3 linked regions of the Mus musculus genome follow. The protein of the gene in region 3 purifies or fractionates together with the protein of the main gene of each other region. This does not show direct contact. Links are inferred from orthologs where the notes say so. Each region holds a gene or a part of one and is shown on either strand. Other genes may lie near its edges.

Evidence for each region.
Region 1: the proteins of Gpn1 (region 3) and Polr2c purify together in Homo sapiens (affinity purification with mass spectrometry; 3 studies listed by BioGRID and IntAct, with this or other methods). This does not show direct contact. The link is inferred for Mus musculus from reciprocal best matches to the Homo sapiens genes GPN1 and POLR2C.
Region 2: the proteins of Gpn1 (region 3) and Polr3b purify together in Homo sapiens (affinity purification with mass spectrometry; 4 studies listed by BioGRID and IntAct, with this or other methods). This does not show direct contact. The link is inferred for Mus musculus from reciprocal best matches to the Homo sapiens genes GPN1 and POLR3B.

What each region holds. Positions count from the first base shown.
Region 1 is NC_000074.6:94,860,369-94,864,806, reverse strand, and holds the end of Polr2c (DNA-directed RNA polymerase II subunit RPB3), read right to left. Parts: intron 4,364-4,438; coding exon 4,311-4,363; intron 3,097-4,310; coding exon 2,968-3,096; intron 2,626-2,967; coding exon 2,574-2,625; intron 2,287-2,573; coding exon 2,118-2,286; intron 1,998-2,117; coding exon 1,923-1,997; intron 1,356-1,922; coding exon 1,211-1,355; 3' UTR 565-1,210; downstream 1-564. UniProt on the Homo sapiens protein: Core component of RNA polymerase II (Pol II), a DNA-dependent RNA polymerase which synthesizes mRNA precursors and many functional non-coding RNAs using the four ribonucleoside triphosphates as substrates.
Region 2 is NC_000076.6:84,674,194-84,677,838, reverse strand, and holds part of Polr3b (DNA-directed RNA polymerase III subunit RPC2), read right to left. Parts: intron 3,283-3,645; coding exon 3,120-3,282; intron 957-3,119; coding exon 803-956; intron 1-802. UniProt on the Homo sapiens protein: Catalytic core component of RNA polymerase III (Pol III), a DNA-dependent RNA polymerase which synthesizes small non-coding RNAs using the four ribonucleoside triphosphates as substrates.
Region 3 is NC_000071.6:31,508,109-31,511,753, reverse strand, and holds part of Gpn1 (GPN-loop GTPase 1), read right to left. Parts: intron 2,456-3,645; coding exon 2,348-2,455; intron 923-2,347; coding exon 843-922; 3' UTR 1-842. UniProt on the Homo sapiens protein: Small GTPase required for proper nuclear import of RNA polymerase II (RNAPII). May act at an RNAP assembly step prior to nuclear import.

The sequences.
Region 1 (4,438 bases), on a different chromosome or scaffold from region 3:
CAAGGCTGTTTTTGAGTATGAGGGTGGCAGTGCCTGTCCTCAGTGATACAACTCTCCTGCTGCCAAGATGGCCTGAGCTGCCAGGGTCAGAGGAGGGGGACAATCAGACTGGTGCTGTCTGCTGGCTCTTCCTCAGAAGCCCAAGGGCCAGGACAGCAGGTAGCTCTGTCCTCTGGGCCTACAGTGACACAGGAAGAGTCCTAAACTTCACTGTACCGTGTGGCAGCCTTGCACTTGGGAGTGTTTAGCAGAGGCGGCATCTGGTTTTTAAATGCACTTTCTGCACTGGCCCCTTCCTGCTCAGTAGGCTGAAGATGTCTTTGGGCAGGGCTCCCGTTACCTCGGCAGCAGAGGACAGTTGGGGCCAGCCCGGAGGGAGGACTGCAGCAGGACTGCTGTGGGGAGCACCTTGCTGCTCTCCTTCACTGACCAGGGGTATAAAGCTCCAGCAGGGGGAGTCCCTTGCCCAGGCCAGCCACCCCAGGCCAGATTCCAAAACTAAGACTTTCCTATCTCCCCACACGGTGCTGAGGCTCCCTGCTGAAATGCAATTAAAGCAATTGATTTTCTAGTGCTGGTATTTATTGACTACCGTGCAGAAGGGCTATCTTTCTATTCACATCAAACCTTTTGTTGCGTGTTTCTGTTTTTTAATACTTTAGGGTTCTGATTTGTGGGAACAGACCTTGTAAATAACCACTGTTCACATGTGTGGCAGAATGATAAGGGGCCCCTCCCAGGGGGTGCCCTAGAGCCAGGGAGGTGGCACAGCCAGCCCAACTCTGTGACCCAGGAAATGACCACCCAGAGGTCAGCTAGTTTGTACAAGAAATGGGCCCAACCCTTTGGGAGGGAGGCAAAACTGGCTCAGTTAGTGGCACGATGACGCATGAAGGAGATTATGTTGTGCTCTTTATTGCCAAAAATAAAAACTTTTAAAAAGACAACTACTGTTGATCAATAAATATTCCTTCTTTTCCGTGCTGGTGTGTGTTTCCCCCCATGCTGCCTGAAAACCACTACAGTAGGGCCCGGGATGCTCAACGCTTAATAAAACCCGCCATGTCTAACACCAGTGGGACCCTGGCCATCTCCCCGATGGCCTTCCAGGGGGCAGACTGTGCAGTGCATAGCCCAGAAACTACAAGGGCTCCCGAGGCCTGAAGTCCAGCCACCGTGAACCTAGTCTTCGGAGGCAGGCGAGCCGTGGCTAGTTTATGGTGAGCACGTCACTCTGGATCTCATGGCTTAACTGAGTCTGTAAATCACTCAGCTTCTTCTTTAGCCCCGACAGGGCTGAGAGGACAATGGTTTCAGGGCGCAGTGAGCCACACGACTCCACATTGTAGTAAAACCTGAGAGACGAGAGTGGGGTGAGAGCTCTCGTGAGGCAAAGCTCCGGCTTCGGGCAGACTTCCCTTCTGTCCTCTGAGACTTGATTCCATTCCTATGAGGCCCTGAGCTCAGGACAGGGTCTTCCCTTTTCCTGAGACTCCTTATGCGCAATGGTCCAGATCCACTTCACAGCTCCCCGAGGAAGCTCCAGCTACTTCTAAAGAGCACTGCTGTACAAACCCTAAGATGACTCTATGTGCATTTCTACACCAGAGACAGCAGGAAAAACCAAACACGATGCTGGCTACAGCCCTTCAGCACTTCAGGGGAGGGCTATGGTCAGTCTTGCTCTGGCCTGAGCCCAAACAGGAAGGCCAGAAACAGCAGGGGTTAATAAGGCCCCTTTCCTCACAGTGACCGGAGAGGAAGGAAGACCAACTCAAGATGTGTATGTGAGTTTGGCAGTTAGCTCTTCTATCACAGGGTGGGGGATGGGGTGGGGTGTGGTGAGCTTGGGTGTGTGACTGCCTAACAGCCTCCCACACCTCTATTTACAATTACAGTCGCAAGCAGGCCTGGGGTCTTACCTCTCTGGCTTGCCGTTGGGGTCGTAGGGAGCCTGCGACTCATCCTCATCCAGCTCGGAATACTCACTCTTGGGCCTGAGGGCAAGCACAGGTGAGGCACAGGGGCTACTTCTGCTTGTAGCAAGGCTCTCAGAGCACTACCCACCTATCGCTCACTACAGCCACTGCTGCTTCCCCTTCCCCCCAGGAACATACCATTCCTCAGGCTTGGGATACACTGTATGCCTAAGTGCGTTGTCTGGATCGTATTCAAAAGCTACCCCCGCAGTAGGGTTCCACTTGGCATGTTCCTTGCCAAAGCCCTTCTTGGCATAGGCTCGAAGTCTCAGCTCCTGCCCCTTCCTCAGCTTGACAATAAGGATGTCTGCAGGGAGAGGTGAGAGTGAGCCAGAACAAAAAGAGGCAAGTTCTCCAACTTGTGACCTGTAGTACTGCATGAAGACAATCCACATCTTGGCAAAGGGTCCAAAGATGAATGAAAGATACCAGGCAACTCAAAGGGGCACATCTGACCTCTGCATCTTCTGGCCACCCGCTTGACTGCCCCACCTCTTATCATGCTACCCCACCCCCTCACCACCCTTGCCCAACCCCCTCACCACCCTGCCCCACCCCCTCACCCCCATTCACCCCCCCGCCCCACCCCCTTACCATCCTGCTCCACATAGTCATTAGGGTCGTTATCCCGGTTCCGAGATGTCACCTGTAGGAAGCCCAAACAAGTATGCATTAGCCTCTCACCTCTCAGTCACCTCTGGCAACTGTCTCTCAGCAAATGCAGCCTATAATCCGTCAATCCGGGGAAAGGAGGCTGAGAAGAAGAAGGAGATGGCAGAGCTGTCCAAAGAACCCAGAGGCCTTTAATGGGGTCTTTGAACAACATAGGGCACATGGCACTAATACTGCTCTGTTCAGGAACTCAGGACCAGCACGTCTAGGTGGCAGTTAACGTAGATGGTCACAGGGTAGGTTAGCATCTGCCTCATAAAGACCCACTCCAATCTGTCCCACTTGGAGGCAGGCAGAGAAGGGCAAAGACACTAACCGGAATAACCCGGGGGCTGTTGGAGATGAGATCTCGGGAGGTGACATGGCGCGTCTGGTCTTCATTGCACCTCACATCGAGAGTGAACTCCACAGAACACTCAGGGCAGAACTCTTCACATGTGCAGTCCTGAGGCAGGAGGACAGCTAGGATGAGGAGACTGGACTCTCTGCTTCTCCTATCCAGCTCTTTCCAGATTCTTCTTGGTGAAAAGGGGTGACCACGGTCCCAGCCCTTCTGGGCTGTGACATCTGGTTCACCTCAGGATAACTAACTACACTTCCTTTCCATGTTCACTGCTACAGCTGACCACTAGGGGGCCCACTCCTAATATAGCAGTGCCTAGAGAGGTCATCTCAAGGGACCAAGGTTGTATGGGACTATATAGTCCTGTTTATGCAGACCAGCTTGGCAATTAACTGAAAATACAAAGAAGGGAAAAACAGGAAAACAAACAAACAAACAAACCACCCCAAAAAACCGAAACACCTTTCAAGTTTTAGATTATTTGGGGAGGGATTACCTAGCCATAGAGGATTACAGCACAGACATGCGCTCAAGTATGTAGAAGGGAAGGGTAGAGCACGTGCAACTTATTATCTAAAAGGTTAGAGGAAAATCAGGCAAATGTAGTAAAGCATTAACATCTACTAACTACAGAGGAAAAAATAAACGGTGTTTTATTAACATTTCTCAGACAGGCATGGGAACACATGCCTTTAATAACCACAGCATGCAGGAGGCAGAGCAGGCAGATTTCACTTCAAGGCCAGCCAGAACAACATAGTGAGACTCTCTTAAAAACGAAAACAAAACCGAAAAGAATAAATGGAGGCTGGAGAGATGGCTCAGCTGTTAGAAGTACCTCCTGCTCAGTTCCCAGAACCTGAATCCAGTAGCTCACAACTGCCTGTAACTAGTTCCGGGGGCTCTGATGCCCTCTTTTCACCTTAGCCCACCTGCTCAGACACAGAGGCAGACCTGTACGTACGTAAAAGTGGGTATGTTTCCCGGACTCTTTTTGTTGTTTTGAGACAGGGTTTCTCTGTACAGCCCTGGCTGTCCTGGAACTCACACAGAGCCGCCTGCCTCTGCTTTCCAAGCTCTGGGATCAAAGGCGTGCGCCACCACACCCACCCGTGTGTTCCCTTTTGAGGCTCACTGATGACGCCTGGATGTGCTGAGAGCAATCCGATGCTCCATCAGAACCAAGGACCACACTATTAAGACATCATCTCCACCATCAGCCACAACAACTGGAAGGGAGACACCCCGGAAGACTCCAGGGAGAACAATCCCCCGGCCCCTCCCCGTGGCCCCAGTCTTCCCACCAGCACACATACCCGGGAGTACTGCAGCTTGTCCACAATGTCATCACTAGTGAGGGGGATTAAACCTGCAAGACACAGAAGAGTGCTTTGCAGAACAGCCAACAGCCAAACCATCACAAGAGCCTCAAGGAGGTCACGCA
Region 2 (3,645 bases), on a different chromosome or scaffold from region 3:
GACTGAGTTAAGCAAAAATGTACTTTACTCGAAGCACTAAGAATTGACCAGAAGGCTGAGTATCCTAGGCTTCTGTCTATGAGTATAACAGAAGAATATCATTAGGGATGGTTTCATTGGCTTCTCCCCCCACCCCCAACACTCTCCTTCTTAATTGCTGATCCTGTTTGATTCTATCCTGGTTCTCTGGTTCCTGGCCCTCTAGGTAGTATTAGGGGTAAGCTCTCGGATCCAGCAGCTGATGGAAATAGATGCAAAGATCCACAGCCAAACATTATGCAGAGTACGTGGAATCTTATGGAAGAGGGTGAGGAATGACTGCAGGAAGCAGAGGGGTCAGGATGTCAAGACTTTAAAGCTGGGCAGAATACAGAGGTGGGTCACAATCGGTGGAGCCAAGTAACATTTAAGGACCACCAGGAAAAGCCCAATTCTACCGTGCTCTAGTTCTGCTCATTCGGCTCAGCCTCATAGACCACCAAGGTCCTCATGAAGATGAAGATAACTCAGATGATAGTCTTACACATGCAACACACCCAGTAAAACAAGACAGCAACTCGAGTCCACTCGAGCCAGAACAGCTGGCTGCCACTCGTCATGGTTTCCGCCTCTCCCGGCAGTCTGAACTCTCTGAGAACAGAAAATATCTCCCATTGTTTTTCAGACCTCCCATTATTCTCTAAGTTGTAGGATAACTGAATTAAATTTATCTTCAGGACAAAAAAGAGGCTTTAAAACTAGAGGCAAGGCCATTTCTTCCAAAGTGCACATAAAGAGTCTCCAGGTCTCTACAGCAACACACCTGCACAAGCGCCCGCCATCAGAGGAAATATAAACACAGCGATCCGTAAGGTTTGTGGAGATAGAAACAAATTCATTGATATAGCCTGCTCTTCGCATCAGCCGGAATGTGCTGACAAGCTTTTTATGGTCTCGAATGACACCAAGGATGTTACCTAACAAAGACAAGAGATAGGTGAGTCAGGCGCAAAAAATAATCTGCCTTAAATTATCCATCCAGTAATAACACTGAGAAGCAGGGCATAGTCACTTAAAAGTTGTTAACACCAGAACTTATTCACGGGCTCTAGGAAGCAGCACAAGAGTATGCTCAAAGACGCTCTGCGGGCCTTAAAGCCTGTGGCTATCACACTGGGCACTGACTGAGGAATTCCCCAAGTGTTCCCCTCCCTGACTGTCCTCAACTGTCAGCATGGTGATGAGGACAGGAGCTTCACACTGGCACAGGCAGGTGGCATGCAGACTAAGAGCCAGCCCCCATCAACCCCCTGGGAAACACGGAGGGGGCAGGCAGCCGACTGCCGTGCTCAGGCAGACCCTTCCACCACAGCCTGTATACAAAAGGGCTAGAACTCTCTGAATGGGGGAAAGGGATGGCCAGAGCACATCGGACAGGACAGGGCTACCAAGTTAAAAGAAGAAGGGTGGGCACATTGCCACCAGCCTCTGGGGGCTTTGAAGAAAGCAGAGTACACATGAAGGAAGAAAGAGACGTGAACCAAAGCAGCAGAATATCTCCTTTGCCACAGCTGCTGAGCTCTGACTCAAAGGCTGGATAGTATGAAGTGAGTCGATCTGATCATTTCTGCAGAACTGAGTGCATATTTAACTAGCCACTAAGATACTACACAGAACTTATCCTACTATGGATATTTTAGCAGCTGCAAATAGATGGAAAGCAGCAGATGGACCTCAGCAGTGTTCTGTGTCCTCAGAGTCTTGGTGTGGCGGTGAGAATATGTCTGGCCCATGGGGAGTGGCACTATTTGGAGGTGTGGTTGTGTTGGAGGAAGTGTGCTACTGTGAGGTGGAGCTTTGAGATCTTAATTTTATATATGCTCAAGTCTGGCCAGTGTGGCAGAGTCTCCTGCTGGCTGTCTTCAGATCAAGATACAGAACTCTTGGCTCCTACAGCATCATGTCTGCTTGTACACTGCCAAGCTTCCTGCAATGATAATGGACTGAACCTCTGAAACTGTGAGCCAGCCCCAATGTAATGTTTTCCTTGATAAGAGTTGCTATGCTCATGCTGTCCCATCACAGCAATGAAACCTACTGAAACCTTGGGGACCACAATCAAAAGACCAACTGTTTCTGTTATCACTTTTCCTCCTTTAAACCAAGGGCTGCTGGAGATAGCTTCCTGGTTAGGGATGTGACCTTGTGTCTACACTTCCTCTCAGCCCTGGGACCCCACCTGGCTTGGATCTGTGGAAGCTATCTGCAACTGACAACCACCCACAAAGAAAAATTACTTTCATCAGTGGAGTCTCACTGGGTATACTAACCACTTTAAGGATAGCCCCATGCTTAGCAGTAGATGGCCAAGATAAAAAGAACTCAGTGGTATTTTTGAAGAATTTTTTGGTCTCATAATGCTTTGTTTGGGTTTTTTTTTTCCTTACCATACTAGTCTTTTGCTTTTACAGGATTTTGATGGTGTATGTGTGTGTGTACGTGTGTGCATGTGTGTGTCTGTGTGTGTGTACGTGTGTGTGTGTGCGCGTGCGCCCACCTGCATACTGCTTCTTCTGTTCCTTCTTTGTTTTTGTCTTATTCTAGTTTGGGTTTTTGCTTCATTTTGTTTTGCCTATTTTGTTTTCTACAGAGCTAGAAAAAGAAGTCACAGAATTGTAAGGCAAGGAGGTAGGGGGACCTAGGAGGAAACAAGGAAGAAGAACCCATAACCAGAATATTTTGCATGAAAATTATTTTTCAATAAAAACAAATAAAAATAAATCAAGGTCTATCTAGGGCCAGAATTAAAATATCTTTATGCTTCAAATAAAAATAATAATGTATTGTCTCTCTATTTCCAAAACCTAGCTTTGGACTGTAGTCAGCCTTCCTAATGCTGCAACCCTTTAATACAGACCTTCATGTTATGGGGACTCCCAACTATAAAATTATTTTCACTGCTACTTCATAACTGTAATTTTGCTACTGTTATAAACTGTAATGTGAATATCTGATATACAGGATGTCTGATATGTGACCCCTGTGAAAATGTCATTCAACTCCCCCCACCCACAAGGGGCTGTGGCCCACAGGTTGAGAAACACTGGCTTAGGAGGAGCACATCTTTGTAGCATACCTACCATTCAGGAAGACAAGAAACACATTTGGGTAAGAGAGCTCTTCTCCACATAATAAATTCACATCTTCTACTCCCAAGTTCCCAGCTAACTTAATAATGGGTCCATCTTCCATGTCAGTTGTTATATGTGTCATGAGGGCCAAGTTCTTAACCAAACCACAGGCCTAACAAAAAACAGACAGGCACGTCTAAGAATAAACAACAGTGCATGAGTACAGCTCACATCTGAAAATGCTCACCACTTTGTTGTTGGTAACATAAGAGTACAGTCTTGAAAGGGACACTTGAAATTCAAACACACACACACACACACACACACACACGCACACACACACACCTCAAACAAACTACCTCATCTTTAAAATGTGTATATTCTTTAACCTGAGGAATTTATCCTCAAATAACAAGAAAGGACATTGTCCTGGCTTGTTCATTGTCAACACAAGCTAGAGTTATCTGAGAACCACAATTGAAAAAAAAACACCCCTGTAACGCTGGGCTGTAGGCAGGTCTGTAGTACATTTCTT
Region 3 (3,645 bases):
CGACCCCGTTTCTAGGAAAGCTGATTTGGAGGTGTATCCATAAGAACTGCCTGGCTCGTGATTTTACTACACTCCTGAGAACCAGGGCAAATCCTAGCTCTGAATGGACGGAATGGACCAAATCCTGGTCACAAACAATGCTTTGTATTGTTCTAAGTACAATATAAGGACATGATTTTGGCCATGGTTAGGTGGATAGACATGGGAAACTAACCTACTATGCATTATATCCTACCAGACATGTCTTTAAGGCTTGGTCATAACTAATAGTGGGAAATCTATTAGTGATCACATACTTTCTAATATCAAACCATGACAGGAAAGCTTACCACAAAGTTAAAGTCAAAATCTTTATCCAAGTCACCATCCTAACAGTATTCTTGAAAATGGGCTACCTCGTGTGAGCACAGATCACATCCGACCTGGCTGCCCAGGGCACTGTGCTGCCCTCTGTACACACACACTCTCCTTTCCATCCTGCTGTGCCCACAGACCCAGCTAGTCAAGGTCCAAAGCGTCTCTGGGACAGACGTCCTCTCTGTCCATCAGCAGCAGAAATACTTGAGTTCAAACGATGATACTTGAAGTTATAGGCTCAGCAGCTATCTCTCAGCTTCCAGAGCGGTGAGAATACATCCTTGCATAAATATCGGGAGGAGCTACCCAAGAATGGGCATCCACCTGCCAGCTCCGCCTTCAACCAGACTTCATCTAAGCCCAGTTTCCCTCAGAGAAGTCACCATTTGGGAGAAAACTGCTCTTGACTGCAGCCCTGGTTCACAGGAAGGATGTCCTCTGCATGGAGACTCAGCACATCAGAGCTGTACAGCAGGTGGGAGGGCCTACTTGTTCCTCTTCCAGTGTGCCATTGACTCCTCCATGAAGTTCTGAAATGCTGGCTCTTCACGGCTTTCCTCTGTAACTGCAGGAGACAAGGGTGCTGTGTTTAAAACCTTCATAGTAGACAATGAATCAGAGCTCCTGTCATACACATACACACACACACACACACAGACAGAGAGACAGAGAGAGACAGAGAGAGAAAGAGAGACATACATTTTAAAATTATTTTTCACTTTTTCAAGACTGGGACTTGCTATGAATCCCAAGCTGGCCTAGAACCCATAGTCTTCCTGCCTGTCTCTCCAACGCTGAGGTTATAGGCATGTATGCGCCTCCACACCTGGCTGAAATGACTTTTAAGGAATTACATACTTACACCCTCAGTCAATGAAATGGCTTCTAGAACATGCAGCATCAAAGTCAAAAAATCCTAATCTGAGGTCTGCTCAGGCAGGCCAGAGAAAGAAGAGTCCACTCACTCACAGCCTCAGCCTAGCACCAGCACACGTGACTGGCAAACACTCAAACACTTGGGGGCTGGAGAGGCGGCTCAGCAGTTAAGAGCACTTGTTGCTCTTGCATAGGACCTAGGTTTGTTCCCAGCACCTACATGGTGGCTCACGATATCTGTACCTCCATTTCCAGGGGATTTATGACCTCTATGGGGACCAGGCATTCACATAGTACACACAGAGACACACAGGCAAGACACTCACACACAGAAAGGAAAAAAAAACAAAACCACATCTTTAAAACCCAACATTGCTTCCTCCTGTCTATGAGCCAGTAAAACAGATTGCTGGGGGCTCAGAGACATGTTTCTCATGTTTTCCCCCGGTAGAAGCAAAGGGGGCTCAAGAAATAGCTTTGTGAAGTTCTGCAATGAGCACAGCAGTCACTTGGAAGGCTTATGAAACAGCCTGCTGGCCCCCCACCCCAGGGTGAGCGACTCAGGATGTTGCTCAGTATCAATGCTTTTAGCAGGGGGTACAGCCTTCACCACTTATCAACCAAAACACCGGTAACAGACGGAAACAGCAGCACCTGCTAACTGAGTCAAACTCAGGAGAAGTAACAAGACATGAAAGGTACGTTAGTGGACCCTGCCCACTGTGTGGGGGCCACTCGCTAGACAGAGGTCCTGTACTGTGTGGCAGAGAGACCAAGCTGAGTACACGAAGACAAGTGAGGGGCATGCATTCGTTTCCCTGCTCCTGCTGTGGATGTCACCTGGCCTCTCCACAGCATGGAAGCTGCAATAGGAGCGGAAACAATCCCTTTCTCCACTGCATTGCTTTCCATTGGGCTATTTTGCCACGGCAACAGAATGAAATTAGAACACATAGCAAGGTCAGAACTCTTCACATGGAACCCTTTGCTGGTGCTGTGTGCTCTACCATCTTCCCTTTCCCCTGTCCCTGGCCATTTGCTCAGGATCTCCTCTCAACAGTGACAATCTCCTGAGTGGATGGGGCAGCTGCTATGTCCACCGGCTGCCTCTCACCTCTGTGGTCAATGTCATCCGTGTCACTGTCAGCTTCTTCATCCTCCTCATCCAAGGTTCCTCGAGTCAGGATCAAGTCAGAAGGATCCAGCACAGGAGATGCGTTGCCTAGGGTTAAAACACTGATCAGTACACGTGTCTTCTGAGCTGGCTCTGAGCTGTTATGCTGATCAGAGGGCAGCATGAGAGTGCGCTGGACCAACAGACATGCGGGAGAGTTTGTAGTTTTTTGTTTTGTTTTTTGAGACAGTGTTTCTCTGTGTAGCCCTGGCTGTTCTGGAACTCACTCTGTAGACCAGGCTGTTCTTGAACTCAGAGATCCACCTGCCTCTGCCTCCCGAGTGCTGGGATTAAAGGCATGCACCACCACGCCCAGCTACATTAGTTCTTATGTACAAGTGTTTTGCCTTCATATATATTTATGAGCCACAAGCAAGCCCCCTGCCCATGGAAGTGAAAAGAGACTGTTGGATCCTCTGGAACTGCAGTTACAGGTGGTTGTGAGCCATCATGTAGGTGCTGGGAATTAAACCTGGGCTCTCTTCAAGAGCAGCAAGTGCACTTAGCTGCTGACCCATCTCTCCAGCCCCAGGAGTATATATTTTTTAATATAAGCACATCCTAGACACTCACAGAGGGTCAATGATAAAAATAACAGAATGAAGGAAAGAAAGAGGAGTAAGGGAGGGATGGAGGGAGGAGGAGGGAAGATAGCAGAATACAAATAACGAGAAAAAAACTAAACAAAAAACAGCACAAACCCCTACCAGTTACCAGAGTAAAACAACATGTAGTAAAGAAGATAAAATCCACTCAATAATGTAATTAGAAATATGCAAAACATACGCAAGATAACATTCCAGAAAGACTCAAGACCTGCCAAAACGAAAATTCTTCCTGCTCTTGAGGAGGAAGAAGCAAGAGCACAGAGATGTCAGCTCTTCCTGGATTAATTTAGGAGCACAAGGAAACCTCGACACAAAGCTTCCCAGGAAGCTGGGTAAGCTGGTGTGCACGTGCACGTGGTAAGCTGGTGTGCACGTGCATGTGGGCCGTGAATGCAAGAACAGCCGGAGAGGACACAGTACGGGGAGAGCAGCCTGAGCAGGCGCTGAAGCCTTTTCTAAGACGGCCACATTTGAGGAATGTGCAGGCATTTAAGGAAAGCAATCAGCAGACTACGCAGAGTCCAGAGCCAGCTAGGCAGAACTGGACAAGGGTGCTCGGTCCCACACCGGATGAGCCAAGTCTGCTCTGAAGGGAATGGCTACACCTAAGACCACGTATTAGATAAATCT